Linked DNA regions of Caenorhabditis elegans. The protein of the gene in region 1 purifies or fractionates together with the protein of each later gene. This does not show direct contact. Each region holds a gene or a part of one and is shown in the gene's direction. Other genes may lie near its edges.

What was found.
Region 2: the proteins of dpy-14 (region 1) and T26A5.6 fractionate together in Caenorhabditis elegans (co-fractionation; one large-scale study listed by BioGRID). This does not show direct contact.
Region 3: the proteins of dpy-14 (region 1) and Y54E5A.2 fractionate together in Caenorhabditis elegans (co-fractionation; one large-scale study listed by BioGRID). This does not show direct contact.
Region 4: the proteins of dpy-14 (region 1) and Y17G9B.8 fractionate together in Caenorhabditis elegans (co-fractionation; one large-scale study listed by BioGRID). This does not show direct contact.

What each region holds. Positions count from the first base shown.
Region 1 is NC_003279.8:6,841,828-6,848,003, forward strand, and holds dpy-14 (Nematode cuticle collagen N-terminal domain-containing protein), read left to right. Parts: upstream 1-1,761; 5' UTR 1,762-1,795; coding exon 1,796-1,818; intron 1,819-2,216; coding exon 2,217-2,355; intron 2,356-2,406; coding exon 2,407-2,973; intron 2,974-3,025; coding exon 3,026-3,265; 3' UTR 3,266-3,315; downstream 3,316-6,176. Other genes in the region: dpf-3 (Dipeptidyl Peptidase Four (IV) family), read left to right, coding at 138-263, 314-425, 471-617, 672-820, 870-981, 1,136-1,273; H27M09.5 (uncharacterized protein), read right to left, coding at 4,057-5,039, 5,083-5,125; syp-4 (Synaptonemal complex protein 4), read left to right, coding at 5,767-5,832, 5,878-5,974, 6,021-6,176.
Region 2 is NC_003281.10:6,446,468-6,453,990, reverse strand, and holds T26A5.6 (UDENN domain-containing protein), read left to right. Parts: upstream 1-3,299; 5' UTR 3,300-3,305; coding exon 3,306-3,362; intron 3,363-3,696; coding exon 3,697-3,894; intron 3,895-3,941; coding exon 3,942-4,179; intron 4,180-4,256; coding exon 4,257-4,412; intron 4,413-4,458; coding exon 4,459-4,781; intron 4,782-4,837; coding exon 4,838-5,184; intron 5,185-5,232; coding exon 5,233-5,366; intron 5,367-5,560; coding exon 5,561-5,661; 3' UTR 5,662-5,979; downstream 5,980-7,523. Other genes in the region: Histone-lysine N-methyltransferase set-1, read left to right, coding at 1,635-1,798, 1,932-2,170, 2,225-2,412, 2,501-2,638; let-721 (Electron transfer flavoprotein-ubiquinone oxidoreductase, mitochondrial), read left to right, coding at 7,085-7,319, 7,372-7,523.
Region 3 is NC_003279.8:14,691,202-14,701,445, forward strand, and holds Y54E5A.2 (Recep_L_domain domain-containing protein), read left to right. Parts: upstream 1-2,952; 5' UTR 2,953-2,968; coding exon 2,969-3,038; intron 3,039-3,113; coding exon 3,114-3,388; intron 3,389-4,119; coding exon 4,120-4,351; intron 4,352-5,242; coding exon 5,243-5,337; intron 5,338-5,383; coding exon 5,384-5,501; intron 5,502-5,974; coding exon 5,975-6,146; intron 6,147-6,239; coding exon 6,240-6,267; intron 6,268-6,743; coding exon 6,744-6,922; intron 6,923-7,554; coding exon 7,555-7,657; intron 7,658-7,704; coding exon 7,705-7,802; intron 7,803-8,048; coding exon 8,049-8,300; intron 8,301-8,784; coding exon 8,785-8,846; intron 8,847-9,004; coding exon 9,005-9,099; 3' UTR 9,100-9,191; downstream 9,192-10,244. Other genes in the region: ttm-5 (Putative sphingolipid delta(4)-desaturase/C4-monooxygenase), read right to left, coding at 56-356, 409-513; npp-4 (Nucleoporin p58/p45), read right to left, coding at 10,109-10,244.
Region 4 is NC_003282.8:4,755,160-4,761,528, reverse strand, and holds Y17G9B.8 (SGF29 C-terminal domain-containing protein), read left to right. Parts: upstream 1-2,688; 5' UTR 2,689-2,898; intron 2,899-2,947; 5' UTR 2,948-3,411; coding exon 3,412-3,485; intron 3,486-3,531; coding exon 3,532-3,980; intron 3,981-4,027; coding exon 4,028-4,215; 3' UTR 4,216-4,352; downstream 4,353-6,369. Other genes in the region: cyp-31A3 (CYtochrome P450 family), read right to left, coding at 1-330, 377-469; memi-1 (MEiosis-to-MItosis transition associated), read left to right, coding at 1,102-1,581, 1,629-1,814, 1,864-2,055, 2,107-2,289; Y17G9B.11 (PID domain-containing protein), read right to left, coding at 4,587-4,667, 4,718-4,924; fbxb-77 (F-box associated domain-containing protein), read left to right, coding at 5,393-5,484, 5,754-6,369.

The sequences.
Region 1 (6,176 bases):
TTTTATGGAATTGCCAAAAACAAATTGCCGCCCACAACTATAGTTAGAACAATGTTATTGAAATTTAATTTGCCTAAATTCAATTGAGCATTCAGACAAATTATAAATGACTTCATTCATTTATGTGATTATTTCAGAAAAACAGGTCTAATGCACTATGCGATGATTCTCCGTCCAAGCAACTTTGATCCATACAAAAAATATCCAGTATTTCATTACGTTTATGGAGGACCTGGTATACAAATAGTTCATAACGATTTTTCGTAAGTCCTCATTTTGACTCTTCATAAAAATATTTAAATATACTTTTCAGTTGGATTCAGTACATACGATTCTGCCGCCTTGGATATGTCGTCGTTTTCATTGATAATCGCGGTTCGGCGCATCGTGGAATAGAGTTTGAGCGTCATATACACAAGAAAATGGTAGGAAGATTTTTGTATTATTTTGTAAATATAGTGAATTTACAGGGAACTGTTGAAGTGGAAGATCAAGTGGAAGGACTCCAGATGCTTGCTGAACGAACTGGTGGTTTTATGGATATGAGTCGTGTGGTTGTTCATGGATGGAGTTATGGTGGATATATGGCTCTTCAAATGATTGCTAAACATCCTAATGTAATTTATTTTATTCAAAAAATAATCATGTTTAAAATCCCTTTTATAATTTAGATTTATCGTGCTGCTATTGCCGGTGGAGCTGTCTCAGATTGGCGTCTCTATGATACTGCCTACACTGAACGATATATGGGATATCCACTCGAAGAACATGTTTATGGTGCGAGCTCGATAACTGGATTAGTTGAAAAACTGCCCGACGAGTATGTTTCAAAATCGTTAAAGTTTAATTGAATATATCAATTATTTCAGACCAAATCGTTTAATGTTGGTTCATGGATTGATGGATGAGAATGTTCATTTTGCACATTTAACACATCTTGTTGATGAGTGTATTAAAAAAGGAAAATGGCATGAGTTGGTGGTAAGTGTCGAAAATTTTAATTTCGAAGTGTCAATTATACGAAAGTTTTAGCTGAGGGATAATTTGAAGTGTTTCCTTTTTCAATAGTATATTTTTCATTTAAAAATAGTATTTCGATTTGAAATCACATTATAATTTAAAAAAAAACTTTCAGATCTTCCCAAATGAGCGTCATGGTGTTCGTAACAACGATGCAAGTATTTATCTGGATGCCCGTATGATGTATTTCGCTCAACAAGCTATTCAAGGTTTTGGACCAACCACTGCCGCTCCAAGACAAGGCCCGCTTTGATGCTAGATTATTAAAATTTTATAAATATTTTAACTGTTTTACTTATTTAATATTATAACTCCTAACTTTTAAGTATTCCCCATTTATCTTTTTTTATCCCCGTTATGTCTATTACGCCTCGAAAATCTTAATTATTTCTCTGTGTATCGAGTTATGTATTTAATTCGAATTTTTGTACTGCGCGCTGTGCGCTTGCATGTCTTTTAAGATTTGGTGTCAAAAATGAAGGGTTTTCCACATGAACTGATTCACATCAACAAAGGGCCGCCCGGTTTTTAGGATTCGGGCGGGGGAAGATGACCTAGATCTGAAGAAGGCACAGCGTTATTATTAATGCATTGGCATATGAATAATAATAATATCTTATCTTATCAGGAAACCGGATCACCTGATGAGACGGATAAGAGGGCAAGGACCTTTCGGAAAGGGATACTGTAGAATAGGCTCCGCCCATTCCGCTGGGGACATAAAAGGACATGGAGGTCCACGGGAAAGAGTAAGATTCCTTTTTCTTCAATCAAAATGGACGGAAAGGATCAACATTGGTGAGTTTATAATGAAATAATTATCGATACCCCCTTTTTATTGTTAATTTTAGTGAATTTTCAAAAAATTCAAAATTTTAAATTAAAAAAAAATTTATATGAATATTTTTTAAAACATTTTTTCCTATTGTAAATTCGAAAATATTACATTTATTATAGGATTTCTAGAAAAATCAGGATTACTAAGAGCATGAAAAAAGTAATTTATTCCCTGCTTCTTTCTGATTTTGAACCCGTAGGTGAACCCACGAGCATTTCTTTTCAGCTACCGTATCCGTGATTACTGTAGATTCAAAAATATTAAAATTCACGAAATCCGCATAAATACAGTCACGGGAAAACAGGACCTTTTTCACTCGAAGAAATTTTATTTTAAAACATGAAAATGATAATTTCAGCCACGCTCGTCGTATTGCCATCGCAGCAATTATTGTCTCAACATGTGCTGTTGTGAGCTCATTGGTTGCTCTTCCAATGATCTACAATATGGTTATCAGTATTCAAAGTGAAATCTCTCAGGAAACTGGTTTCTGTATGGTTAGTCAATTATTTTATTTTTTATAAAATCATTTATTTTTATAATTATAGATGCGTTCCCGTGACATGCTTGTTAACATGTATTCAACTGCTGGAAAGAGTGGATATCGTGCAAAGCGTGCTTGGCAATTCGGATCATGGGTTCAAGATTCTGGAGTCGGAGGTGGAGCCGGTGGATACGGTAGTGGACCAGCTGATAGTGGATATGGTGCACAAGGAACCAACAATGGATATGGACCAGTTGTTAATGCTGAACCAGAACCACAATGTTGTACATGCCAACAAGGAAAGGCTGGACCACCAGGACCACCAGGAGATGATGGAAAGGACGGAAATGATGGATCAGCTGGAAATGATGCTAAGAATGGAAAGGATGGAGGTGTTGGACCATCTGATGGACTTCAATCTGAACCATGCATGATCTGCCCACCAGGTGCACAAGGACTTGGAGGTGCTCCAGGAGCCAAGGGACCACAAGGACCACGTGGATCACCAGGACTTTCCGGTGTTGATGGAAGACGTGGAGAGCCAGGTATGTCTGGACCAGCTGGAACTCAAGGAGAACCAGGACCACAAGGACCACCAGGAAAGAAGGGAGATGATGGAAGAGTTATTAATGTAAGTTTTATAGTGTTGATGAGCTTTAACTGCAGCACAGGAAATATTTCAGGTCAATGGACCACCAGGAGCCGGAGGAGCCCCAGGACCACAAGGACGCAAGGGAGAACGTGGACCAAAGGGAGTTCCAGGATCAGTTCATCCAGGAGTTCAAGGACCAACTGGAGATCAAGGAAGAAAAGGAAGAGCTGGAAGAAAGGGAGAAACTGGAGGACAAGGACCAATTGGATCAAAGGGACCAAATGGAGATTGCTTCCATTGCCCAACTCCAAGAACTCCACCAGGCTATTAATTTCTCGTGGATTCTGTGTTATTTCAATAAATTATTATTTATTCAAAAAATTCTGTGTTGCATATCAAAGTTCAAAACATGTAATAGTTGGAATATTCATTTCAACTTTTAAAATAATCGGAAGAATATCAGTTCACTTGTACAGCAGGAGACGATTGATCCAGAAATCTGAAAATATTATAGAAGATGTGCTAAGAGGGGAAAATCTTAGAAAAGTAACACTTTTGAACTTTTTTATTTGTTGACAAAAATGATCTCATAATTTTGGAAGTCGATCAATTTTTTCTACGAATTTCATATTCTAACCATGTTCGAAATAATTGCATTCAAACATTTTAGAGATTAACTAGTAAGACATGCAAAATTGATTTCAATTTCTGGAAAATATCACCTTTTTTAATTTGGCAGTTCACCAACAAAACTTAGACTAAATAGAAATTTACAAAAATCTGGAAATTTTTTGTAATGTATTTTTCTGATATTCGATTATTTGACAGTAGCTCTACACCATCGTCAACTAAACTGTACAAATACTGAAATTTTATGAATCAAAAATTCCCCCAAACACCTAGAGACGAAGGTACTTCTTTTTCACAAAATTACGAGATATAACCATTTCTAGCAATCGTGATTTCGTGAATCCGTGAAATTTGGCTGAGACTGAGATCGTGGTGGGACCCACTTTAAAAAATCATATATCCTGTGTCCTTAAAGTGATTTCACGAGACTACTTACGATATTAAATATAACTCTTTTTCCAAAATACAATAAAAGAAAAACTAACCACATGTTCACTTTCTCTTTGATTTTCTCGATTCAACATTTTTCTTGGACGCCTTCTTCGAAATGATTTTATTTTTCTTTTCTGGTCTCACACTATTAGACCTTTTGGAAGGCGATTTCAATGGATTTCTCGTAGATTTTGCTGATTTTTTAGAAAGCGTTTTTGGTGGTTTTATTGTAGAAATCAACTTTTTCGTTGAGATTTTTGCTGATTTCTTATCCCCCGGAGACAATGGATCAGCCAAATAATTTCGTGAAATCTTTTTTGTGGGTTTTTCCTTTGAAGGAGATGTTGGTGGAAGAGAATAATATGATTTTGGATTATCATTTGATGGCTTTACAGCAGTGGAATATGTTGATTTTCCAGTATCCACATAAACTGAACGAACGTCATCAGAATTTCGTTTCTCATGTGGTGGATCCTCCACCTTGTCATCGTATTTCTTGTAATTTCGGTAGCTGTTGCTTTTTTCTACAGGCATTGATCTGGCTGACTTATGTGAATTTTCACGTCTTCTCTTTTCATCCCTATAACTACTTCTTCTGGATTCTCCATCTCTATCTCTATCTCTATCACCTCCTCTTCCAAAATCACGTCTACTTGGAGATTTCTCCATTTTATGAGCCGATACATTATTTTTCTTGCTCCGAGAGCTATCTCTTTTGTCCCTAGAACTGCCACGTTTACTTCCAGAACTGTGTCTCTTCTTCCGTTTGCTCCGTGAGCTTTTCATACTCTTCTGTCTTGATTTTTTCTTTTTAGAACCTTCTTTCCTGTCAGATCCATTATTGTGATCATTTCCATCTTCCTTATAATTTTCCTTTTCATCTTCATTATCACCCTTCTTTTCTCTCTTAGATTTTTTAGATTTCTTCGATTTCATTGATTTCTTTGACTTTGAACCTTTTCGTCGGAACATCTCACGATGCCCGGTAGTACATCCAAGCACCATCGTTGCACTAGTTAAAGTGGCAGTCACCATAAGACATACTGTAAAAGTTGCTTCAAAAGCTGAATCAATGAGTAAACCTACGGTAATTCACATTCTCGGCCATTTGTTCTGGCGATGAACTCATTTTGTGAACAAAATAGAAATAAAGATGTTTTGATCAAATGAAAAGGCTATGCAAACGACACATCCAGTTCGAGACGTTTAATTTTGATAAATTTATATTAGCGTCTTTTCCATCCTTCAGTGAACTTTCAAATCTCCCAAATATCGTAAAAGAACATCGGCTAGGTGTTACATATAGACCCACTTTTCAGGGCCGCGCGCACGCAGCCCCGATACGCAAAAATTAAGCTGTTGGCGAATCTCAACTCGAGACTGCCACACAGGTCAGCCCGCACCAAAAGTGCAATGGGTAGGCCTAACCATGGGGATTCCGCCTTTGTGATCGCGAAATAACCCCCAGCCAGGTAAGTTTATGAGCCTGCGGGTGGAGGGAGTAGTGCGATAGGGTGTCCCGACATTTTGCGGTCTCCGCTACTCACTGTGTTTAGTGTATATGAGGCGGATTTTGACGTGATGGCAATTTGCGTATTTTACATTTAAGTTTACGAGCAATTGCAGGTACAGTAACCTTTGATGTGCAGGCACGAAAAAAATCTCCATTCAAAAGTTTGTTGCTTTTAGGAGAAAACTGAACTTTTCTGTTTCTTTGTTCGGTACGGTAACCTCATTTTTCATCAAAATTTTTTATTTCAAGGCGAAATAATGTCGTTTCCGACGCTACAAGTACGTCCAAATGAGAAAAATCCAAAAGTTCTGCGATGCCATGAGGTATTTTTAATCTACAGACAATCAGTTGTAATCCTCTTCTTTCAGTTTCTTCGCCAATCAAATCAACTTGTGGAGCGAAACATGATCAACACGGAAGGAAGAAAAATGTTGGCAAAGTTGCTGACGAAAATGGTATCCGAAGGTAAGATTCCCGATGGTTCATCGTTTTCCACTATTTTATTATTTAGCCAAAGGAATCTATGCATTAGATGAGAGACGCGCCGAGTTGGCAAAAAGTGGGAAACTCCAGGAGAAGCTGAAATCAGCTTATCAAACATCGCTGACAGTAATGGAAGATCGTCTACACATTGCTGAGCTATCTCGGCAGGTTCAAGAAAAGAAGC
Region 2 (7,523 bases), on another chromosome or scaffold:
CTTAAAAGCAATAAGAGAGAAATACACATTCAAAACATTAAAGCAAAAAGCGTGCAAAAATCGAAATAGAAACTATGGGCAAGGAACGGAAAAGGCGCAAGCTGGACCACTGGCGTGTTCGACGCAAGCCGTTTCTCTCTCTGCGACTCTCCTCACCCTCACCCCATAGTGCATTCCTGTTTGTTGTTTGATCGTATAACCAGCCTCCTTTCTTTTCACTCCCTGATTTCACTATTTCTTCCTCTTTTTTACTATTTATTCCATTAAAATACAATTCTGGGTTTTCAAGGTCAATATTTCTTCCTTATTCCTGATAATTCGTATCGATTTCCCCTGACATCCTTTCTGGCCTACAATTATGTGGCGTTGTGACGTAGACCGCTGAATTGACAAAACAGTCGAAAACGAACGGGTGGACGGCACCATTCTTTGTTTGCTGCTCAATCTTACAACGACTAAACTTTTTATCGATTTAGCGTTTTATCGACCGCAGCATAAATAGGAAGGGAATGGAATAGAATATACCGATCGTTTTCTAATTACCCATTCATAATCGATTAGCTGCCAGCATCAATAAACCAGCGGCTGCATCTTCTTATGTCATTCAGATTCTCGACACCGATTCGATGTTCTTTTTTTCAGCATATCTTCTTCGTCGGGCTCTCATGTAGTCGCATTGAAGAATGACAAACTGCATTTTTTATGCGATGACACTCTTGTGCACGATGTTGCCATCGATTTGTTGCTCTGTTTCTCATAGTTGTTTTTTTTCAATTCAGTCAAAATTAATAGATCAATAGGACATCTAAATTTAAAATTCCAGTTGGTATAATATTTAAAATATAAATAGAAACATTAGTCATGCGCATGGCGTCAAAATTTATCTAAATTTTAATCTTTGAGTATCTTTTCTGTTTAATTTTACGAGCCCAATAAGTGTATCTATTATTACGGAAATATACATTTTAAAGTTCAATTCCATAATTTCAATCCACCATTTTTTACACCAACCACCGACATCTACCGTGAGTGCAATAACGCTCCACGGCACTTCCCGCCAAAACCATATGACTGCACACCATTTGAATTTAGTCGCGTGTGCACGACATTGTTCTTTGTGCTCAGCTCTCGTCAAAAACCACTGAATTTGATTTCTAATGAGGTTATTCACGAAATGTGGATAAATATCTTAATGATGATGTTCTACTCGGTCTTTTGATATTTGGAAATTCAACGGAATCGGTGAAAGCCCACCCTTTTCACAATAGAAACCTTCACTTTCTAAAAAAAATATTCCTCCGAAAACCCATTCAATCTGCTTTACGCATCTCTCTGCCCGCTTCAATTTCCTCTGTTACCCTCTTCCCAACTACTTTTTCAGGTACATCCAAGATGGCTTTTCCATTTTCAATTACAGTATTCAGGACCGATGAAATCATATTGAATATCTGGGTTTTTGAAACAACACATTATAATATTTTTACCCAACCATTTCAAAACAAAAAAAATAAATTGTGGGCGAATATTTCTATTATTTCTATGACACCTCTTTTGCTTCTTTATAAATTTCTCTATTTTTACTATTCTCCTCACCCTACAAAATTTATTATTTTTTCAGCGGTGTCACTCGAAGGATGAAAGTTGCCGCGAAGAAGCTGGCAACGAGTAGAATGCGAAAGGATCGTGCCGCAGCAGCGTCACCATCTAGTGATATTGAGAACTCCGAAAATCCATCGTCTTTGGCTTCACACTCTTCATCTTCAGGAAGAATGACACCGTCGAAAAACACAAGGAGCAGGTATGATTGATTAGTGACAAGAGGGATTGTAATAGAACGTTTAAAAACTTCAATATTTCTAATTGAATTCACAACATATTCACAGAAATTGTCCAAGCTGAAAACTTCAATTTCCAAATAGTTTTTCTTTCAGAAAAGGAGTGTCGGTGAAAGATGTCTCAAACCATAAAATCACAGAATTCTTCCAAGTGCGGCGAAGTAATCGGAAGACGAGCAAGCAAATTAGCGATGAAGCTAAACATGCTCTTCGCGATACCGTACTCAAGGGGACTAATGAACGACTTCTTGAAGTGTACAAAGATGTTGTGAAGGGGCGAGGAATTCGAACGAAAGTTAACTTTGAAAAAGGAGACTTTGTTGTCGAATACAGAGGTATGTAGATAACACAGATAATTGTTGTAATATTGTTTTTAAAAAGTATTCTAGGTGTTATGATGGAGTACTCGGAAGCAAAAGTGATAGAAGAACAATATTCGAATGATGAGGAAATCGGATCCTACATGTACTTTTTTGAGCACAACAATAAAAAATGGTGTATCGATGCGACAAAAGAATCTCCATGGAAAGGACGACTCATCAATCATTCCGTGTTAAGGCCGAATCTCAAAACGAAAGTGAGCATTTCAAAATTTGAAATTTATTAAGAAAGTCTTTGATAAATTAAAAAAATGTAAATAACAATTCCAAAACTAAACATTCCAGGTGGTGGAAATCGATGGGTCGCATCACCTGATTCTCGTCGCCAGGCGTCAAATCGCACAAGGAGAAGAGCTTCTCTACGATTATGGAGATCGTTCAGCAGAGACGATTGCCAAGAATCCATGGCTTGTGAACACATAATATGTTGCTCCACAACATCTCTTCGATCTGCTCAATCCATTTCAAATGTTCATTTACCTTCACGAGTATACTACTGTAATTCCCTTCATTTTCTCATATTTTCCACGGCACTCGTGCCCAATCCTCTCATTACTTCGTCTCTTTCAACCGCCTTTTCTCATTCTCACAGCGAATCAAACCTGAAACAAATCTCAATAACGAGCCGTAATAACGTGCTCATTTATGATAATCTGGATCTCGTGAGTATCCAATTCTGTACCTTTCCTGTTGACTTTTGAAAAGTCCCTTGTTCTTTCCTTTCATTGAAACCTGAAAATCTCCTCACTTGTTCCACTACGAAATGCCTTTAATATCTTTAATTCTTCTGTAAATTTCTCGTTGATCGCCCATTTTTTCCTGAATTATTCATTTTTGTGGTGTACATGAGGTGCGAGTTGGAAACCTACTTTAATGACTGGTTAACGCTAAAATCGTTTCCATCCCTATCGGAAAACATTATCAGCGTGCAAATCTCAATTTTTCATTTTGAAAACAATTAAAATCCATAAATTTTGCTACATTAATCTTTTTTTACGAGTATATTCCGTTTTCCGGTATAGCAACCATAAGAATTTATCTGAAGATGGTAAAATTCGGGAAAACATTAGAGCTTACAGTTCAGAGAAAGATGCATCCAATTCTGAATGTGGTCGTCGTTAGTTTCCATCACAAGCGAGGATGTGAGGTAACAAAAATGGCAAACTATCAGAAAAATCAGGAAAATATGATACATAAAAGAATAAACTCGAAAACGTAACGATTAAGGTCATAAATGTGCAGGAAAGTAATAAAATGGCAATATAAACTACAAAATCGCGTATATTTTGCAGTTAATTTGAAATAAATGTTACAGTCAATCGAACATTTCACAAAAAGCAGAACGTTTTTGGTACTTTTTACTATTTTTGCAGTATTTTTCATATACATTTAATTATTAAGTTTTGTATTATATGGAGTGAAGATTTAAATTCAAGTTCATCAACTCAATTTGTAAAAAATCAATAAAATAAATCTTGTAGGTAGAATACTCGCACCCGAAACTCGATGGCACGGGCGAATCGGGATTACCCGATGAATGGCATCTTCTTCCATCACTGGCGTTGCCGGATGGTGTACATAATTGTCAAAAAGATACAATATTCTTTTTGCTTCCATCTAGAGAAGAACCTGGAAAATCGATATTTGGCATCTCGTGTTACAGACAAATCGATGCAAAAGTGAGATTTTATATGACTCTTCAGATAAAAACTGTTTGACTTTGCAGGAATTAATAAATAAATCGGAAGATGTGACTAGGACCAGTGTTCAAAAAGCTGTATGCGTTCTTTCAAGAATACCACTTTTTGGTCCATTAAAAGCAAAATTGGAAGTAATAACTCAGGCATATTTTGAACAAAAAGATTTTTCGAAAGTTGATGTTCTTGCTCAAATGTATACGAATCTTTGCGATATATTCGACGAAAATCTTACTGGAGAATACTTTTCAAATCTAGCTCATCATGGTACGTTATTGAATCAATTTACTAAAATAAAACATGAAAATAGTTTCAAATGTTCACATTTTAATTAGCGATATCAGTTTCAGAAATATCAATTCAAGAGCTTTTTATACGATTCCGTCACCGAGCTCTACTGCTTTTTAAATTATTCCTATTAGAGCGGAAAGTTTTATTCATTGCACCAACTGGATTACGATTAGGAGAAACTATGCTGGCTATTGTTTCAATGTTTCCAAGTAAGAATATACAGACATTTTAAAATCGTTTAATTTTGAATTTCAGAGCTTTTGGAAGAAGGTCTGTTCTACGCAACAATCGGGGTCAATACGAGTTGTCATTTCAAAAATGTAAATTCAAAAACTGAAGGAAAAAGCGAAGAAATAGTGATAGAAGAGGAGGTTGGTGTTCAGCTTTCACATGATGATCCATTGAAAGAAAAGGATTCGTGTGGATTTCCTATAAGCTTATTCACACAAGGATCATCATTTGATCCATATCTATCAATTCAATCAATGGATTTAGTCCCGAAGACTCAGAGTTGTATATTTGGAGCTACGAATGCCTTATTTGCGATGAAAAAGGATTTATTTGATGTTATTGTGAAGGTTTGTATTTTAAATTAACAATTTTCAGGTTTCTAACTAAACTTGAGTAATTTCAGATCGAAGACGACGGTTCTCTTGTCCATAATCACATTGAATTTGTCAACGACACAGCATTGGAACGAGTAGTTTCTCTAACTACTGCAGATCTTCGATTCGCTGATTTTATTCTCAAAAAAGTCGAAGAACAGGTTAAATCCTCAAATGCTGAATTCGATGGATCAGATGAATGGATTCGTTTACAAATGAAAAACTATCTTCTTGGCCTCGTTGCCACGTCACGTTCCGATCTACAAGCAGCGATACCTCATTTTGGAATCGCTTTTGTAAACGAATGGCGGAGAACTAAAAATCACAAAATTTGGGTTGCAAACAAACATGAAGATTTAACATCTGTTGCGCCAGGGTGAGGAATTTCAGAACATGAATACATTTTTCAATCTGAATATTTCAGGCACATGTTCTCGGAACAAATGGGAGTCTATGACGTGTATCTTCGTTTTGAACATGCCGTAAATGGAGTTGAAGGAGCTTCAAAAGTTATTGGAACTGTAAATACTGCCGGAAAGAATTTAGGAAATACCATTGGTAATTTTTTTCGGGTTTGGAAATTAATATAGCATCTAAAAAATTTCGAGAAATGAAGTAGCAGTAAAAAATTGAGGGCATAGCTTTCATTGCTTTGAATTATTCAAAATGTTCAAAATTTACAAAACTGACATTTTGCCAAAACGAAAAAAATATTTTTAATACTAAAGTGATTAACTCGATCGTGTTTTCAGGAGAAACCGGTAGTCGAGTCAAAGCAAAATTCTCAAACTGGTGGAATCGAAAAGCAACCGCACAAGAAGGTGTTGAAGAGGCAGAGGAGCCATCTGAGTGATTTATTAAAGTCAAATATGTATAATGGGCATTTTATCATCTTTTAAAGTTTTTTATTGTAATTAGAATTTCTGTCATATTTCCTTTGTTTTGTTTGTGTTCCATTCAATTTGATCTCTTAATGATCGAATCGTTTTCATCCGGTTTATGTAAGTCTAATCAGTTTGTTTTTCATGTAATCAATATAACTATGCATTTGTTTAAACTCAAAAATTGGTTTAATATACGGGTGAAGATGAACATCCTTTTATATATTACTTTCTTCTAATGATAGAATTGTGATTTATGATCTGTGACCATTAATGTTTTGATTTTAAATACGTAGACAAGTTGAAGAGGCAAACAAATAACGTTTAATATTTAGTTGAAGAGAAAACTTTTTTTTCAAAAACTCGGATAATATTTTTTCCAGTTTTCTTATTCACATTTTAAAAGCACAATTTACAATTGATAATGTTAAAATTCAACAAACTTTTCAAACTTCCCAGGAACCCCCTACAAACTTTGTTTTCCTGTGACGTCACTAAGCTACCTTTGCACTGTAGACGTTCAGATTTGTAGTCTCTCCTCTTTTTGTCCCTCGTGGGAGACACATGTTCGTTGTACTTTGCCCTTTTGTCTACTCCTCTTATCTCTCCTTTCCTCTACACGTACGCAAAGATACACTTTACCCTGATTTTTTGCTTTTCTTTTCCGAAAATCACAACAATTATGTATTTTGTTTTCATTTGAGGAATACGTAGAAGAAAGTTATAAATTTTAGCTAAAATATTTAGAACTACAATTTTGTGACCCCAAAAATAATTCGAAAAATGTATCTTTGATAGTAAATCACCCATTTATTGTGGCTGGCTTGGCTGGTTGTTGACTTGTTTGTTTTGTCTGCAGTTGGTCAATCGATTTGTTTTTTCCCATCGTGTCTAAATATATTTTTAGTTGTTTCTTTTTTCAATTTTATGCGCCCAAAGATACAGTCACCGGTCTCGACGCGACAAAATTTTGCTAAATGAGAAAAGGCGTGCGTCTTTAATGAGTACTGTAGTTTCAAACATAAATAGGTTGCTACATAAATTCTACCGGTTTATCATTGTTTTTTTTCCAGAATTACTAAAATTTAAGTATTTATATCAACGGATATATTTGAGTCTTCTGTAAATAAGCTTATTTATTAATTATTAATTATTATTATTATTTTCGAAAATCTATGAAAAATAGAGTAAAATTCCACAGAAAATTTGAAATTATAGTATTCTTTAAAGACGCACACCTTTTTGTATTTAACAGTAACCAGAATGCATATATTTTGCGAAAAAAGCAAATACATTTTTCATTGAAAATTCACGTAATTTTTTAAAATTAAAATGCAACAATTATTTCTTCAATTATCGATTTCTTTCTCATTTCTCAATTTCTGTGACTTCAGAATGCGGATAAGTGGAGTCACATTATTCCGCGTCTCATCACAACTTCGCAACGTCGTCAACGGACAATGGACGACTACTCACTATACTGTAAAGGATCGATCCACTGATCCACGGTGGAAGGATGTTGATTTGGCACGAGAAAGTGATGTTTATGATGTTGTCATTGTTGGAGGAGGTCCATCTGGTTTATCAGCAGCCATTCGATTGAGACAATTGGCTGAAAAAGCTCAGAAAGGTAAAATCTAAACAAATACATTTTAGAGTAAACATATTTTTTTTAATTTCAGAACTTCGTGTCTGTGTTGTCGAAAAGGCATCTGTTATTGGAGGGCACACTCTCTCAGGAGCTGTAATTGAAACTCGAGCTCTTGATGAACTTATTCCAAATTGGAAAGAGCTGGGAGCTCCAGTTTACCAACAAGTTACCTCTGAATCTATC
Region 3 (10,244 bases), 7.9 Mb from region 1:
ATTACAGTAAGAGGCAAAAAAGTCCAGAATTTTATTTTTTACACAATGGACTTACCCAAATATCGATGATGCTCCACATGATACTTCTTAAAAGACACTGATATCGGCACAGCAATCGGCAAATTTGCCCACATTCCGAAAAATCGATTTTTCAATGGGTACTTATTACCAAAAGCCGTATTATGTGAAATATCATGGATGGCAAGTGTCATTGCGTGATTGATTATTCCACCGCAAAAGTAGGCTTCAAGTATTATTAATATCCAATCAGCATCTTGTAATAACCAACACATAAAAATTTGAAATATTACCAAACTAGACACCACGTATTTTAGAGATGGATCAACGCCGAATAGCTAAAATTTTCAGTTTCAGAAAATGCTCATACGTTTTAAAATATAAACTCACCTTTTTAACTTCTGGGTACTTTTTCACAATTTCCTCTCGTCTACTCATATGTGGCTGCTCTGTTAACGTCCAAATAAAATCATCTCGACTCACTGATTGCCCCATTTTAAGAGCAGTTTTGAGATCTGAAAAGTAGAAATTTTAAATAGAGAGCGCGGTGAGGGGGAGAGTGCAGACACTGCCTGCGCTCTCCCCCACCCCCACGCTCTCTCGCTAAAGAAACTTTGAAGAGATGTATCCCGGCAGGTAGGAAAGATAGAAAAACACTGTAAAAGGAAAAATTGTGTAGAATTGGATTTTCTACAAGAGGAGTGAATTGAATTCTGAAAATTTTGAAACAAATTTTGTGAAATGATTTTTTTGGGGGTTTGATTTTGTTAAATTTTCAAAAACTAATAATAACTAAATTTTGACAAAAAAAACCATTTAAATTCAAAATTCCAGTAATAAAAATTAAAAAAAACCGTGTAAATCACCTCTACAAATTCCTGCACAAAAAGAAAATCAATGGGCGGTTATTTTTCTTTCGGAACACATTAAAATGGGCAGTTTTTGTGTGATAAGATCACGTCTTAAAAATGATAAGAACACGAATATGATGAATCAGGAAAGGAGAGAGCAGGAGAGCAGCAGAGAAACAGACTATAAGGCACACGTAGTGATGTATTTGTTCTTGAGAGCAAAGAGTGCGCAGGGACTATAGAGACATTCCAATCCAGGTACAATATGATCTTTGGATAGACTTGAAGAGGAATTTGGAATTGAGTTACATTGAGAAGTGGTGTAACTTTTTGAAAATTTTGAAAAAAAAAACATTTAATTAAAAAAAAAAAAATTTCCAAAACTTTACAATCTTTTAGAAAATCTAATTCTACACAATTTTGCTTTTACAGTATGCTTCTACCTATCTTACTTGCAGAGATACACCGCTTCAAAGTTTTGAAGGCGAGAGAGTGTGGAAGAGGGAGAGAGCGCAGTGTCTGCGCACTCCCCTCCCCCACACTTTCTCACCCCGTCGAATTTGAAACGCGTGTAACTCTGTGGAAAAAAGAGGTAGAGAAACAATGATAACTGCAAAAATGTAGAGAATTTTGAGGAGAATATTTTGTTGGCTGAGAAAATTTTGATATCTTCATTTTTCAGGAAGATATAGGGGGCTTAAGAAATATTTAGTTAAAAATTCGTAAAACCACGCACAAACAAGTAAAAAATAGCGCGAGTGCTTTTTAAAGCAAAACATCTAGCAAAGGTTGCACATTTTCAAACTAAAAATTTATATTTTTCAATAAATTCAAAGGCACATATGCTCTCTGAGACAAAAAGTGATAAATTGGAAACCTTATAGGATGAAAAGCCAGAGGGGGAAATTGGTTGGTTAGCAACCACCTGAATCCAGTTTCCGTTGCTCTTGGAGCACACACATACGGAAAGGTGGACTTATTGCGTAGAGAATGCAACTATACATGCAAATAGAAAGGAAGGAACTGTGTGTGTGTGTGTTTTGAGAGCGAGACGGGAGAGGGAAGCGATGCTCTTTTTTTCCAATGATTCACTAGGTATTGGTCATTTTCGTGGTAAAACAAACAGTTTCAGACAGTAGAGTATAGGGAAATTGATAATGAAAACTAGACGGAAACATTATGAAATATCATTTGGAAAACTAAAAATTGAAAATTCAAATTCAAACATTCATTTTTCATAAATTTCATAAATGCTAAAACTCAAAACGTTATCCAGTAGAAAATCCAATTCTACACATTCTTGTCTTTTACACTACCTCTCTATCTTTCCTACCCGCCGAGTTACACCACGCTGAAGTTTTGGCGGGTGAGAGAGTGTGGGGGAGGGGGAGAGCGCAGGCAGTGTCTGCACTCTCCCCCTCCCTCGCGCTCTCTCACCCGCCAATCTTAAAACGCCTGTCACTTTGAGCAGAGGAGTGCAATTAAAATATTGTAAATTGCAAAAATGTACAGAATTTCAAGGCGTATATTTTGTTAGTTAAGTAAAATTTGGTAGAATAAGCTTCCGGTTAGATATGGCACTTTTGGCTCTTACCCAATAAATGCAGAATATCTTTGTAGAGCAAAACACTGCTCAAATACACTTTTTAGTTTGAATTTCAGGAAAAAAAAACAAGAAACTAAAAAAAACTCCGAACAATTTGTTTTTATTGCAATATATAGAGAATCAAATTCTGAACATTTTTCCTTTTTACAATATTTTTGTATCTTTCCTCTCTGCAAAGATACACCTCTTCTAAGTTTCGGTGTTGAGAGCGTGGAGGGAGAGGAGAGTGCAGGCAGTATATCTCTCTGCACTCTCGCCCTCCCCCACACTCTCTCACCCCAAAAAACTTCAAACGCTCACAACTTCACGCAGAGAAATGCTATCAAAAAGTGTTTAACTAACAAAATGTAGAGAATTTCACGGGGTATATTTAATTTTTAATTAAATTTTCGATACGATTTATTTAAAAAATATGTTTTTAAAAATAATTTATCACGTAAAAACTTTTTAAATCCATTGAAAAATCAATCTGCTTCATTTCTCCAAACCAACCATGGTTTTGTTGTTCAATTTTCTGAAACTTATGCTTTTTTCGACAGTGCATGGAATTGTTATCGAGTTTGGTAAGGAGACCTCTTCGCTGGAGCGCGTTTGCAGCCCCTTTCTGCAAAGTCTCAAATCTACTGTTTTTTTTTCAGAAAGACGAGCGGAACTCTACTCCCTGTACTCCTCAATTCCATTATCAAAAGACACGTGGAGATTTGAGAATTACCTGAACGTTCACAAGTACAACAATATACTATTCGACGGAAAAATCTTGGAATTCGACTCACTGGGATGGTTAAATGGGAATCAGACGATTTATCACAAATTACCATATTTTATATCGAATCCGGCGTTTCGAATTCCTCATATATCAAAGGAATTGTGTGATTCTAACGGGTTCTTTAATATTGGATTTCGCATTTTTCAGGTTTAATTTTTTTTTCTATTTATTCGATAATTTTTATATAATATTGTTGAATTTTAGCTTTTCGGGCCTAAAAATCTATAAAAACGGCAAAAGTTCGGTGGAGCGCGTTTGCACACTCGCGAATCGTGCCAAGACCAGTTTTAATCAATTTTTAAGATCATAGACAAATGCAGCTGTTTTTCTGCTAGATTTTATATGTTTCTAGTGAGCAAATTCATTTCATGAGCAAAAGAGAAAAAAAAATGATTAAAATAAATTTGGTGAAGCGCACTTTTACACGTGGTGTCAGGCGTTTTCCATAAAGTTTTGTAGATTTTAGTGTTAAAGTTCAAAATTTAGACATGTTATAGAGGCGTAGCGTAAATTTGAATGATCTACAATAAAATGCGGAAATTTTTTGCCCAGTAAAATGTGTCGCCAGCACACTTACAAAATTTGTTGAGAAATCTGCGACTCAATTCCCGCATTTTTTGAAGATCACACCGAAATGGGACACTCTGACCACGTGTTTTATTATCTTTTGCGGGCTTATTCACATGAAAAAAACCGTTTTTTTTCTATAAAATTTTGTAGATTTGAGTGTAAAAGTTCAAAATTTAGACCTGTTATAGGGGCGGAGCGTAAATTTTCAATTGTTTTTCCCGCCCCTTTTTTTTTGAGATCGCCTTCCCCCGATATTTAAATTCTCCAGAAAACGCTGCCCCTGCATCAAAATCAACGTTATTTTGCAGAAAACTCGCGAAGCGGGCCTCCCGTACCAACCGCAATGTGCCACGTGTCATCCGATAATTGAAGGTCTCCATCAAATGTACTACGTATTCCCGGAACGTGATTTCACTCAGATTTTCACGAAATTGACGATCGGCTCTCGAAAAATCAATAATTTATTGCACTATTGTAGTCGGGAGGATTGTGAACAGGAGCCACGTGTCTCGAATTTTCAGGATTACTTGAGAATTAATAGTGAGTGTATTATTTAACTTGGCTGAAAATTAGACGAACTAGCTGAAATTACCCTCAAAGTATCAGAAATTTATTTCTGAATTCAATGAGTCTAGTTAAGCATAGCATACATATCACAAGCCTTCATTATCTCTCAAGGGTACTCCTAAGGTGCTTAGTAGGTACAGTGCACCCAACAGCTACTTTTTTATAGAAAACTAGTATTGGAATTGGAATCAGCATACCAAAAAACCTATGGATCTATAATTTTATCATGATATCTCAAAAGTTGAGTGCAAAAGAGCAAAAAGTTGAAAAATCGACCGCCCAACTGCTATGGGACCCCCCCCCTGCGATTTTCGACAATTTCGCCGAAAATTCTCATTTTTTCAAGAAGCATAAAATTTTTCAGTTTCAAAAATACATTTAATGTAGTAATTTGGTGGTGTAATTTTTGTTTTTCATATCATCGAAATAACTGGAAACCTGCAAAAGCTTGATTTTCAACTTTTTATGACCTTTAAGCCCGACATGAAGCTACTGAGCGGGCTATTTTTTTAAGTTGTAAATGGCTTTTAGCAAGTTTTTTGGTGCCACTTGGTGTTTAAGCTCGTATCTGAGCAGCCGATGGAGCTTTCTTTACAAAATTTTACAGGCTATTTTGCTTAAAAATCCACAAATCATGCACCATAAACAATAGCTTCATCATACTTAAAATAATGTAGTACCATTAAAAACCCTAAGCTTAGTACTTTTGAAGCTTGTATAGTTTATCTAGAACTAGCTTATATCTGTAAATCATCCCGAAATTGAGCCAAATTAACTGAAAATTATTGTGAGCACATTTTTGATTCCAGTCCCTGTGACGCCGTTTTCCTTTTTATATCTTTTGCCAAACTACACCTTCCACAGACCTGCATTTTGGAAAGGTGACAAGATGGAGTGGAGAGCATGGAGCCACTGAAACCGACAGAGAAGCTATAGGGCTCCCCAATGGAGAGCTGGCGGTTGGTTTCCAGGACTTTACTCTCTGAAAAACTCAAAAATTTACAGATTCATTCTCGAAAAATTGAAGGATTTACTACAATGTGTGGAATTGAGTTGAATGGTAAAATTGTGAGCAGCTATAACTTTGTGAATGAGGATATTATTGGGGACGGAGAGCAGAATGGTAAGCTTTATTGACTTTATCGTATAGAAATTCAAATTCTGATTCTTTCTTCGTTTTCCATGATTTCTCTATCTCTACTCCCCGCCGAGATATACCCCGCTTTGAAGTTTTATTAGCGAGAGAGCGCGGAGGAGGGGGAGAGTGCAGACACTGCCAGCGCTCTCCTTCTCCTCTACACTCTCGCATTGGGAAAACTTTGAAAGCTTGTAACTTTGCGCAGAGGAATGCTATCAAAGAGTTGTCAACTGCCGAAATGTATAGAATTTTAATGAGCATATTTTGTTAGTTGGCAACTTTTTCGTGTGATCATTTTTTAAGGAAAAAACTCAGAAATTCCAAAATCCATATAACGTTCTTTATGGATCCCTAGTTAACAACCCTTTCATTTTAATTTATCAGGAAGATATCAAAATTCTGGCAATTAGTTGACAGATGACAAAATATAGAGAATTCCATTGAAAATACAGTTTCAGATAAAATCTTCACCTACGAAAACTACGAGTCTCTGGAAATTTCAATAAACTCTGTGAACGACACTAAGAACAATATTCAATTGTTCATCTCCTGGGATGATTGGGGTTGCTGTTCGGCGTGCTGCTGTCCCACCTCAATCTGTGGACATGATTATGAGACTGCTAGTGATTGGTCAGTTTTCACCTCTTATTTTTAGTACATATTTAAAATTTTCAATGAAAATCAATATTCCGCTCGCACCCGAGTTGGGCATTTGTCGATTAGGAAGTGGAAAATGGAAAAGGAAGCGCAGGTAAGATGGAAGTTATTTGAAGTGGCTGTAGCTTTGTAATAGTACAAGCTACCAAATAGTTATCAACTGACAAGTTGTAGGAAATTAATTTCTCTACAGATTACCAACTTTTTGATAGCTAGGTAACTTTGCGGAGATACAGGAGTTCCTCCAAGATAGTTCGAAAGCTTTCTAGCTCCGTTCAGATGTAAGATCTCAAAGTATTGTTAGCTAGCAAAATGTAGCAAATTAGATTCTTTATAGAATTAACTACTTTTAGTTAACTACTTTTTGGCACCTACAAAATTCTCCGAGTTATAGGAGTTTTGAGATAGCGCTTCACTTCCCCCAGAAGACTAGCCCAAAACCTGTCTAATCCCGTTCAGATACTTGATATCAAAAAGTTGTTATCTATGATAGCAACTTGTAGAAAATTAAATTCTCTACAAAGTGTTCGTTTTACAATTCCCATCACCTCTCACCATTTCAATTTCCAGCCCAACCAACCCAGCGAGTCACTGAACCAACTTCACAGACTGCTCTCAATCCCTCCGTATGCTCATCAGGGAATTCCATTGTTCTCGTCATTGTTGAAAAGAATTGTGCTTGAGGATATTTTAAGAGATATCCGAAGTGATTTGGTGCCAAAGTTCATTGTAGCTAACAAGGCTGCTGGGTAAGTTGAAAGGGAATTTTTAGGTTTTGAGGGGAGGTGGTTAAAAGCTTCTTTAAAACCCCCATATCTTTGCGCAAAAATGAGATACGAAGAAAGTATCAATTAATCAACTTAACTACTTTAAATTTGCTTGAAATTTCTAGTTGACAAGTTTTCTGTAGCTCTTACGGATTCGGAGCTACAGAAATCATAAAAACAGGTGTATTTTTGCGTGGGTGGGAGGCAGAATATTTGTTTTAATTAATAAAATAAACTACATAAAATTTTCTACAAATTGTTAGTTGACAACTTTTATGTAGCTCCTATTACCACCGAGATAAAGCCCGCTGAAATTTTTCTCAAAAATGCTAAAAAACTTTTTTTTTTCCAAAGTTTCAAAATCTTTTTCGCCCATCTTGTAGAGCATGAAATTCTGAGCATTTTTCAATTTTGAGATACACCGCTTTAAAGTTTCTGCGGTGTCTGCGCTCTCCCCTCGCCACACACTCTCTCACTTACCTTGCAAACTTAAAACGCTTATAACTCTGCGGAAAGCAAAGCTAATGAAATTTTGTAAATGGACAAAATATAGGAAATCGAATTCTCTACATTTTGGCAATTAACAGTTTTTTTGATACGACTGCTGTTTCCAGGCACAAATTCACGTCTGGAATGTTCATCGAATTAGAGTCCTGCAAGTCGAATATTCAAAAGACGAATTGCTACGAGTGGGCCAAGTGCCACAATATTTCGATGGTAAGTTCAGTGTAGACAGGCAGGCATGTAGGCATACCTACGTTTAGGAAGACGTCCACGTGGAATCCGAGGAGCAAGTTTCCGATTCGTGTCAGCAAGTGCAATTTATCGATGTGCTCGTTGGAATGGATAATATGAAAGTGACGTGGGTTTTTGCTTCCTTAGTTCAGTAGAGCGCAATTGCAAAATGGGAGACATTGATAAGGACTCGATCATGTTTAAATTTGATTAGGAAATTATTGTCAATCGGATGCAATTGTGCTCTATCGCAAAATTTTCTGGAACAATCGATATTAACAATATCGATTTTTTATTATCGATTCCACAAAAATGCCTACTTGTTCGATAGAGCGCTTTTACATCATCAGGAGCAAAATTATCGATTTTTCAGCGTCGGAGCCCACCAACATCTCCGTATCCGAATGGATTCAGAAGTTCACGATATGCGAACCACGTCCGCCAAATGGAGAATTGATCTTCGAAAACCCAAAAAATACGATAAGAACCGCCCGTGTCTGCTGCAGGGAACCGTGCAACGTGGCGGCGAGCTACTCATTCTTGACTTTTCCACGTGGCACATGAAAATTGATTTGATTTTGGCGAAGGAACGGAAGAAGGTTCGAATCACTTTTCATAATTTAAAGTGAGTTTGGAAATTTTTTGGGAATTTTTCAGATTTTCTTTTTCAGATTTTCAATTTTCAAATGTTTCCAATTTTCCCTGAAACTTTTTATAACATTTAACAATTTCGATTTTTTTCAATTTTCAGAATTTTTCGAAAATTGCTACTAGTTGGGAAAATTCTGGGAAATTAATGTTTTTTTTGAAAATAATGGAATTTTATCGATTTTCCAGAATTTCCTGGAGTTTGATTTATTGCCAAATAATTTTTGGAAAAGTCTGAATAGTTAAAAAAAAAGTTGAAAAACGTCCGAAAAAACGTCGGAAAAATTTCAAATTTTTTTAAGGTTTAAAAATTCAAAAAAATGCGATTTTTAAAAAAAATTTTTGATTTTAGAATTTTCGGGATATTTCAGAAATATCGATTTTACAGAATTTTTTGAGGCTTTTCATGGAATTTGGAATTTTGGGGAATATATATTTGATAACAAATTTCGAACTTTCAGAGTTGACGAGAAGGTTTCTGCAATACAAAATACTGTATTCTATTGGGCGCTGGCAATTGCTGGTAAGAGTTTTTGAAGAAAATTAAAATTGAAATAGTGAGAATTTACAACAAAAAATTCCAATAATTTAATACTTCTGAAAACTTATCGCGTCTAATGAAAGTAAAATGCTGAATTTCAAAAAAAAAGAATCAGCTCAAAAATAATAAAACATTTTCAGCATTCTTCCTGCTTCTCGTCACTGCCGTCATTTTAATGCACAGAGAGAAGACACGGCGTTTGGAGAAAACTCTTAAATCAGTTAATTCACACTAGTACATTGTCGAGAGAACTCGGATTTTATAAATAAATGATGAATTTATGGTGTTTCAAAATTTTTGATTTTTACTATAAATGACTCATTTTTGGCATTTTTCAATAGTTTTTGACGGGTTAAACCTAGATTTTCTGAATTCAGCGTGTATGAATTACCCGTTTTCAACAAATTTAGACAACTTTTTATTTTTGCCAAAATTTTTTTCAGCCATCTAATGACTGTCCTTTTTTTTATTTTGGGCAAAAAAATAATTGTCTTGAAAATGTTTAAAACTACTATATTCTGAAAAAGGGCAATTTTTTAGTGATCCTAAATCAATTTTGAGTCCTCTAACTACAAAATTGCCCGTTTTAGTGAAGTTTCAAAATTGTGAATTTTTGCCATAAATTGGCCATTTTTGCCACTTTTTAATAGTTTTTGACGGACTAAACCTAGATTTTCTGAATTTTGCATGTATGAATTACCCGTTTTCAACAAATTTAGACAACTTTTTATTTTTGCCCAAATTTTCTAATGACTGTCCTTTTTTTTTATTTTGGGCAAAAAAATAATTTTCCTGAAAATGTTCAAAACTACTATATTCTGAAAAAGGTCAATTTTTAGCCTGCAGTAATCATACAAAACAACTAAAGTAAGCCCACAGTACCCTTACAGTACCTTAACATCATCCCCACCAACTCCCAACAAAATACCTCTACTAAAGCTAAAAATTCAAATTTCCCAAACTACAATAATTCTACAGTATCCCTACAGTACCCGTACAGTAATCCTTCAATACCCTTATAGTACCTTAATTTTTGATGAAAAATTCAAAAATTTTACAAAAAATCAGATTTCATGGGAAAATTTGCTGTGTAGAGACAATGTAAAATTAAAATCGAATAAGCTTAATGTAAGAATAGGGTAAGAACAGGAAAAGCGTGAGGAATCGAAAGAAAGATCAGAAAAAATAAATATTTCACAAATTAAATAATAAAACCAGTCATCATGAAATAAAAAAATAAATAATTATTTCTTTGAACTGAACAAAAGACCACTGGAATTATTAGCAACAGTCGATGCAAATGGTGTAGTTGTGGTGGCTGGTTTGGTTGATCCGAAGAGTGATGTAGTCGGAGTTGTGGTGGTGGCAGCAGCTGAGGAT
Region 4 (6,369 bases), on another chromosome or scaffold:
CAGAATATCATAATGGAAGGTGGGTGTCAAGAGTTTTCGCTTTGGACGCCATTGTTCCTTCTGGCTTGTCAAAATACTGATTCCAAGCCATGGCTCAAGCAAAACGTATGCGAAACCTTTGTTCAGATGTTTCGTCGACGAGAAAATTGGTTCCACGAGATCGGCGGAGTAGAGCATCAGGCAAGGGAACGGACCAATCCACAAAAGACACATACGTGGATCTGGATATAAATATCCCATTCCAATTACTTGGTTCATGAATCCCTCTGGATCTGGCTTGGTGACCAGTCCGTGACCGACGATTGGATATGAACGTGGTTGATTGAGATGCTGAAAATTTATTTAAATTATCTTCAAATGAATTTTGAAATCAAACCTTCAAAGCTTGACGCATTCTCAAGTGTTTGTAGAGAAGCCAAGCGATTATCGTCGCCGAAGCGAGAAGTACAGCGGGGATGATAACCCCCATTGCAAAACCTTCTGAAATAATTTATTTGAGCGAAAAAAACGAGCAAAAAGCGTTGAAAACTTGAGGAAAATTGTTTGTTAAGCTTTGGTTTTGAAAATCGCAAAAAAAAAAGTTTTTGAACGAACATTCAAATTTCAGACAAGTCGTGGTGAGACCCATGTGAAAATCGTCATGCGTCTTTAAAGAGTACGGTAGTCTTGAGAAAGTTCTCGAACGAATTTTTGTCGTTTTCTGATATTTCAATCTTGATTTAAATAATTATTAAAAACTTTTAATTACCATTATTTTTTCAACAAAAAAATGAAGAAAACAAAAAAACAAATCCAAAACTATTTTTCAATGAATATTGTACTTTTTATGAATGCTTCGTCTATTTGACCTATTTGACGTATTTGATCCCCCCGTCGAAAAACCAGCGCAACTATTTCATATAGGCTCAACGAATTTTTGATCGTGAATCTTCTTCTTCTTTGCTGACACTCACAAAAACTGATGAAGTTTTTTAAAAAATGGTTTTATCGATAAATTATTATTAATCTGCCAATCACTTCAGTACATTTACTTTTTTTTTAGTTTTCTCTTTCATTTTTGCTTCAAATTTTTTATAAAATTTTAAATCAACGTTTTTCAGAATGTCAGCTCCATCTCGCACCGTCCTTCGCGATTTGACGGCGACCAGATACGTCGCCAACTACGCCGAAGAAGATCGCTTGGAAACCGCTCGAGCCGGTTGCTCTTCCCTCCCACCACAACCCAACATCAATCATGATGTAATTATCGAAGGGCACGGAGAAGATGTGGAGCTCGTCGAAGATGAGAACTACTGTTCCGTTCATCGTATCGATGAGACTCCAAAGCTCGTCGACAAGAAACCGAGCAAGACAATCATCCGCGATGAAGCTGTCAAAGTGCTCCGGCACATTCAGACTGTGCCGATTGAAAATCTTCGTCTTAAGCGCTACGACTATTTCTCGCAAAGATGGTTCCACACGACCAGAGAATCGGAGAAAGCGCTTGTCGAGCACGTGTTTCTTCATCCCAACCAACGACCACATTATTTTGCCGCTCAGTGCCGGAAGCTGTCGGTCGAGGATATCTCTAGTTTGATTCTGGTTAGTTTCTTGGCCATATTTTTGATAAAGCATAAATCTCATTTCAGACTTCTCTCCTGACCGAACCGAAGGAAACGGGACAAAATGTGGCTCGATTTGCTATCCAGACAACCAATGAAATGTCGTTCCAAACGTTATTTGCATTGCTCGAACAACTAGAGAAGGAAAACGAAAGGTTCCAAATGACAGATAGCTTTGTGGTTGCAACCCTGATCCGATCACAGACGAAGAGAGTAAGTAAATCGGTTTTATATTACACACAAATAACTTTTCATGTTTCAGACTATCACTCGTCTCCTGAGAACCACACACTGCCGGGAATACGGAAATCTCGAGCCAGGACTCGATTCACAAGGCCGGCTGATGACTTCGACTGCATCAATCACGTGTTCAATTCGAGGAAAGCGCCACGTGGAAACGAGGATCGTGTACAAGAACAACTCGAGCACCAGGGATCCTTTCCGAAGAAATAGAGTGAGTTGTATAGCAATAATTCTATCGATTTCCAATTTATAACATTTTCAGTACATCGAATTGGAGCAAACGGTGAAGTGCATGAACCGGCGAGTGCTGATTGTCGAAGAGCCAGTCGAAATCCACGAATTCGAGGTCGAAAAGGATATGATCTCGCTGGAAAACGGAATTGCGCCAGTCGACGACCTGATCTCGTTTCTCGAAACATTCGAACTGGATGAAGAGGACGAGTAACTCCATATATGTCCTATAATTAGTAGTAATGTGCATAAGTCTGTATTATTGTATATGTATTTAAATAACCGAGTGGTTCCTGTTGAATATTCCAACTAACTTCCCCTATTTTATTTTCCTTTTTTGTTTTAGTTGTTTTATGTATATAGATTCTCCAATGCCCAAATTGTGACAACCCACGACTATTTTGTTTATATTCGACATGTATATTGCCCGCATTTATTTTGATTTTTTTTCAAAGATGAATTTGTTTGAGGTATAATTTTACAATGCATTACTGCTCTGATTGATTGATTAGAATATGAATTTCAACTATTCCCGGCTTTTCACTGGTAAATTACTCCATATACGTTATTTTCCCACCGCAACAACCTGGCCTTTTCATTGCCTCATTCACAGCATACGACTTGTAATGTCTGCACTCTCCCCGTCTCATCACGTAATCAGGTCTCTCTCGATTCTTCCCGTTTAAATATATATCTGCTCTATTGCACCTCTTCATTTCCTTGTTCAGGAAAATAGCATAATTTCAAAATGCCTCGGAAGAAGAACGATGTGCAAATCACCGAGGAAATGAAGAAGAAAACCGCCGAAGAGGTTATCAAAAAGGTGAGTTTTATTTATTTATTTATTCCTAGTTTTGAAATTAATTTTCCAGCTGCCAACAGTGAAATCGAAGCAAGACGCTATCAACGAGAATCTGCAAAAACTTCAAGAATTCCGAGATAATGAGCCGAACCCCTATGGAAAGGGTAAAGTGGGTTTTTTTAAACAATTTTTATAACTAATTTTTGCGAAATCCAATCATTAAAAATTCAATATAAATACAGTAGTCTGTTTAAAGGGGCACGTGGTTGTACGGCTGGGTCTCGCCACGATTTTAAAGTTTTCTTGCAAATATCAATTAAAATCTTAACAAAAGAAATCAATGAAGACCAAGTTTTAGATAAATTTTTAAAATTTGAAGTAAAGTTTTGAATAGTTTCAACAAAATTTTCGGGGCAATTGCCTCGAAAATCTGTTCAAATTTGCAATCTGTACAAATTCGGCGATTTCTGCATGCTGTGCACAAATTCGGTTGAAATCTGGGTATATTCTGAACGGGTTTACTGAGAAGTTTCCATGGTTTTCGATGGAATTTCACATTTTGTCACCAGCACTCATCGATCTGTGGAATCACAACAATCATTCATTAGGTTCGTTTTCATCTTTAATCTCTCAAAATTAAAATAAATATTACAGAAATCTTTTGGACGAAGTAAAACGTGTTGCTGAAATGGATTATCGCTCCCAAATGGCCGGAGACATCAGTCGGAGAGATTTAATGGAACTGATCAAGGTTCGCGGCGACCTTCTTCCATTATGGACCAGCCATGACACACAATTTCCTGGAGAATATGTTGGAGCTATTGCACCACAGGATGGCTCGAAACTAGGCGACGGAGATTCAGTGGCGGCATTCAGTAAAGACGGAAACTGGATTCTTGCTGATATTGTCACATGTCACTCTAACTCGCGATATGAGTGTCGAGACGTTGATGATGACAAGAAGAAGTTGACAGTTTTCGCGAGAAGCCATTTGTTACCCCTCCCAAAATGGAAAGCGAATCCTGCATCAGACAAGCATGCACTTTTCGAGAAAAATGCGATTGTGTTGGCGTTGTATCCACAAACCACTTGCTTCTACAAAGGTACCAATTTTCACAAAAGTTTCAAAAATAAAATAATTATTTTCCAGGAATAGTTCACTCCCCGCCAGCAGATTTTCGAGAACCATATCAAGTAGCGTTCGAAGACGACAGCTATGCATCAGGATTCTGCCCTCCAATGCCGGTTGCTCAGAAATACGTGGTTGCCTTCCGAGAAGTTGCAGGGCTCACTGCATCAACTGCTCCAAAAAAGGGAAATGGCCACAAAAAGAAATGAGGCCATAATCCAATTAATTGACAGTATTTATTGTATGTAACTCCTAAAAATCCCGGAATTCCTTCTCATAAATCTCACAATGTTTTTTATTTGTCCATAAAAGTTGTTCTTATCAAAAATAAAACGTGTTATTATTGGCGGCAACATTATTCGAAAATTATACAAGAGAAATAATTCAGAGAGTGCAGAAAAAATTAGAAAGTGATCCAATGCGTGGTCTTGATTATTAAAAATTAACGTGATTTTAAAACCAGAAAAACATTTTGATTAATATATCTGCACGATCTACAATGATAAATAGTACATAGCCGTCATCCCATCATTCCTTCTCACATCATAACCACCTTTGACAGGATACTCGTCACATCCCGTCAATCCCAACGGCAAAAGAACAAAAAATTCTCTATCCACAGTCTCCTCAGCATCGAAAGCGCACTAGAGATAGCTATCTGCTAGATATTCTATACCTTCAAAGAGTGATTCGAGAAGATCTTCGTCTCACCTGAATGCAGTAAAATCGAAATTCGCAGATTCCAGTTTCCTGTCGACTCCGTGAATCCAGTGTTTCAAAAATATATTGACATCTTTGATTCTTAGATAAGCGACGAATGCGGAAGCATTTGTCACTATTTAGTACATCATTAAGATCATATTTCAATGATTGGTGTAGTACAACTATGTCCATGTTACGTGTTAAAACCATTTGCATTTGTTTAGATGCTTCTATTGAGAACGGGTTTTTGCTGCTTGTACAAATTGAATCAGTTTTACCGGAAAACTGTTTCAACACATGTTCATATAGCAAACTGTTAAAGCCAAACACTGTGCCTAGCTGCAAATCCTCAAACTCCAATCCTTCGAATTCATCACAAATCGTACTTTCGAATTGTGCAGTATCAAATGATAACTTATCAATTCTCTTTTGATGAAATATTTCCATAAGATGATTGTCCGTTCGTCCGTGAGAGTGAAGTGTTTGAGAAGATTCTTTTTGTCAGAATAAGAAGACGTTAGAATATGTTAATGGGTCCTGGGAACATGGGAGTGGTTACGGACGAAGGAAATCTTTGTCTCTGCAGCAGATGTATAATAACAAGTAAGTAGAGAGTTAGAGAAATAAGAGGTCACTGAACATTACCACTCAATCCTCCCATCTGCTCATTCTTTATTTGTGACCATGGATGACTATGTGCCTATTCCCTTCACATTGCTCAAATTACCTCAAAAATCGATTGATGTCGTGCTGCGCAGAATGTGCATAGAAGCATTGTGAGTACATAGATCATCATTAAATTTTTTCTGTAGTTTGCTGAAGAGCGTAATTCGAAAAATTGCTTGAGTGATTCGAGAAGTTTTAATGAAATGTATAGTTACTTTGAAACTTTTATTACTCAACAAGCCGGTGTCTTTCGAGCCTACCTCTCGACTTCCTCCGACTAGTAAAATTAAAATTCAAACATCCCGTTCTCAAATAGCCTTGATCCAGGGATATGGTTCACTAATCGCATTTCCTTGTCAATATGAAATATTCATTACAGAGTTGAATTATCATTCACATCTAAAGCTGCAATGCAACAAACTAAACACCTTGGTATAAAAACCGAACGTTTTATCATCGCAATTAATTCAAATGAAATATTGATTGACGTTTCCGGTTGTAGAGATTTCCGATTCTACACTTTCGAATGTTCAACCCCCAGCCACCATACTGTACAGAAGCCCATAAGAGTGCATGTTGGTTTCAGAGGGGAAAGATGGGAAACCCCATTTTTTGGAGTGAGACAATTTTTGAATCATCTTATGGAAATATTTCATCAAACAAAACTTGATAGCTTACATATTAGTACAGCTGACCCTGAATGTTCTAATGAACTCAAAGGAATGGAGTTTGGGTGGTTGTCCATGATGTCCATGACATCGGACAACAATAGTTCACAAGATGAAGATGCATTGAGACAGTTTTCCGGCAAAACTGATTCAATTTGTTTAAATAGAAACCCATTCTCAATAGAACCATCTAAACAAATGCAAATGATTTTAACACGAAACATGAACGTAGTATCAACGAAATGTGATCTTAATGATGTGTTTGTTACAAATGCCCGTTCATTCACCGCTTTTCTGAAAATCGAAGATGTCAATATATTTCTGAAG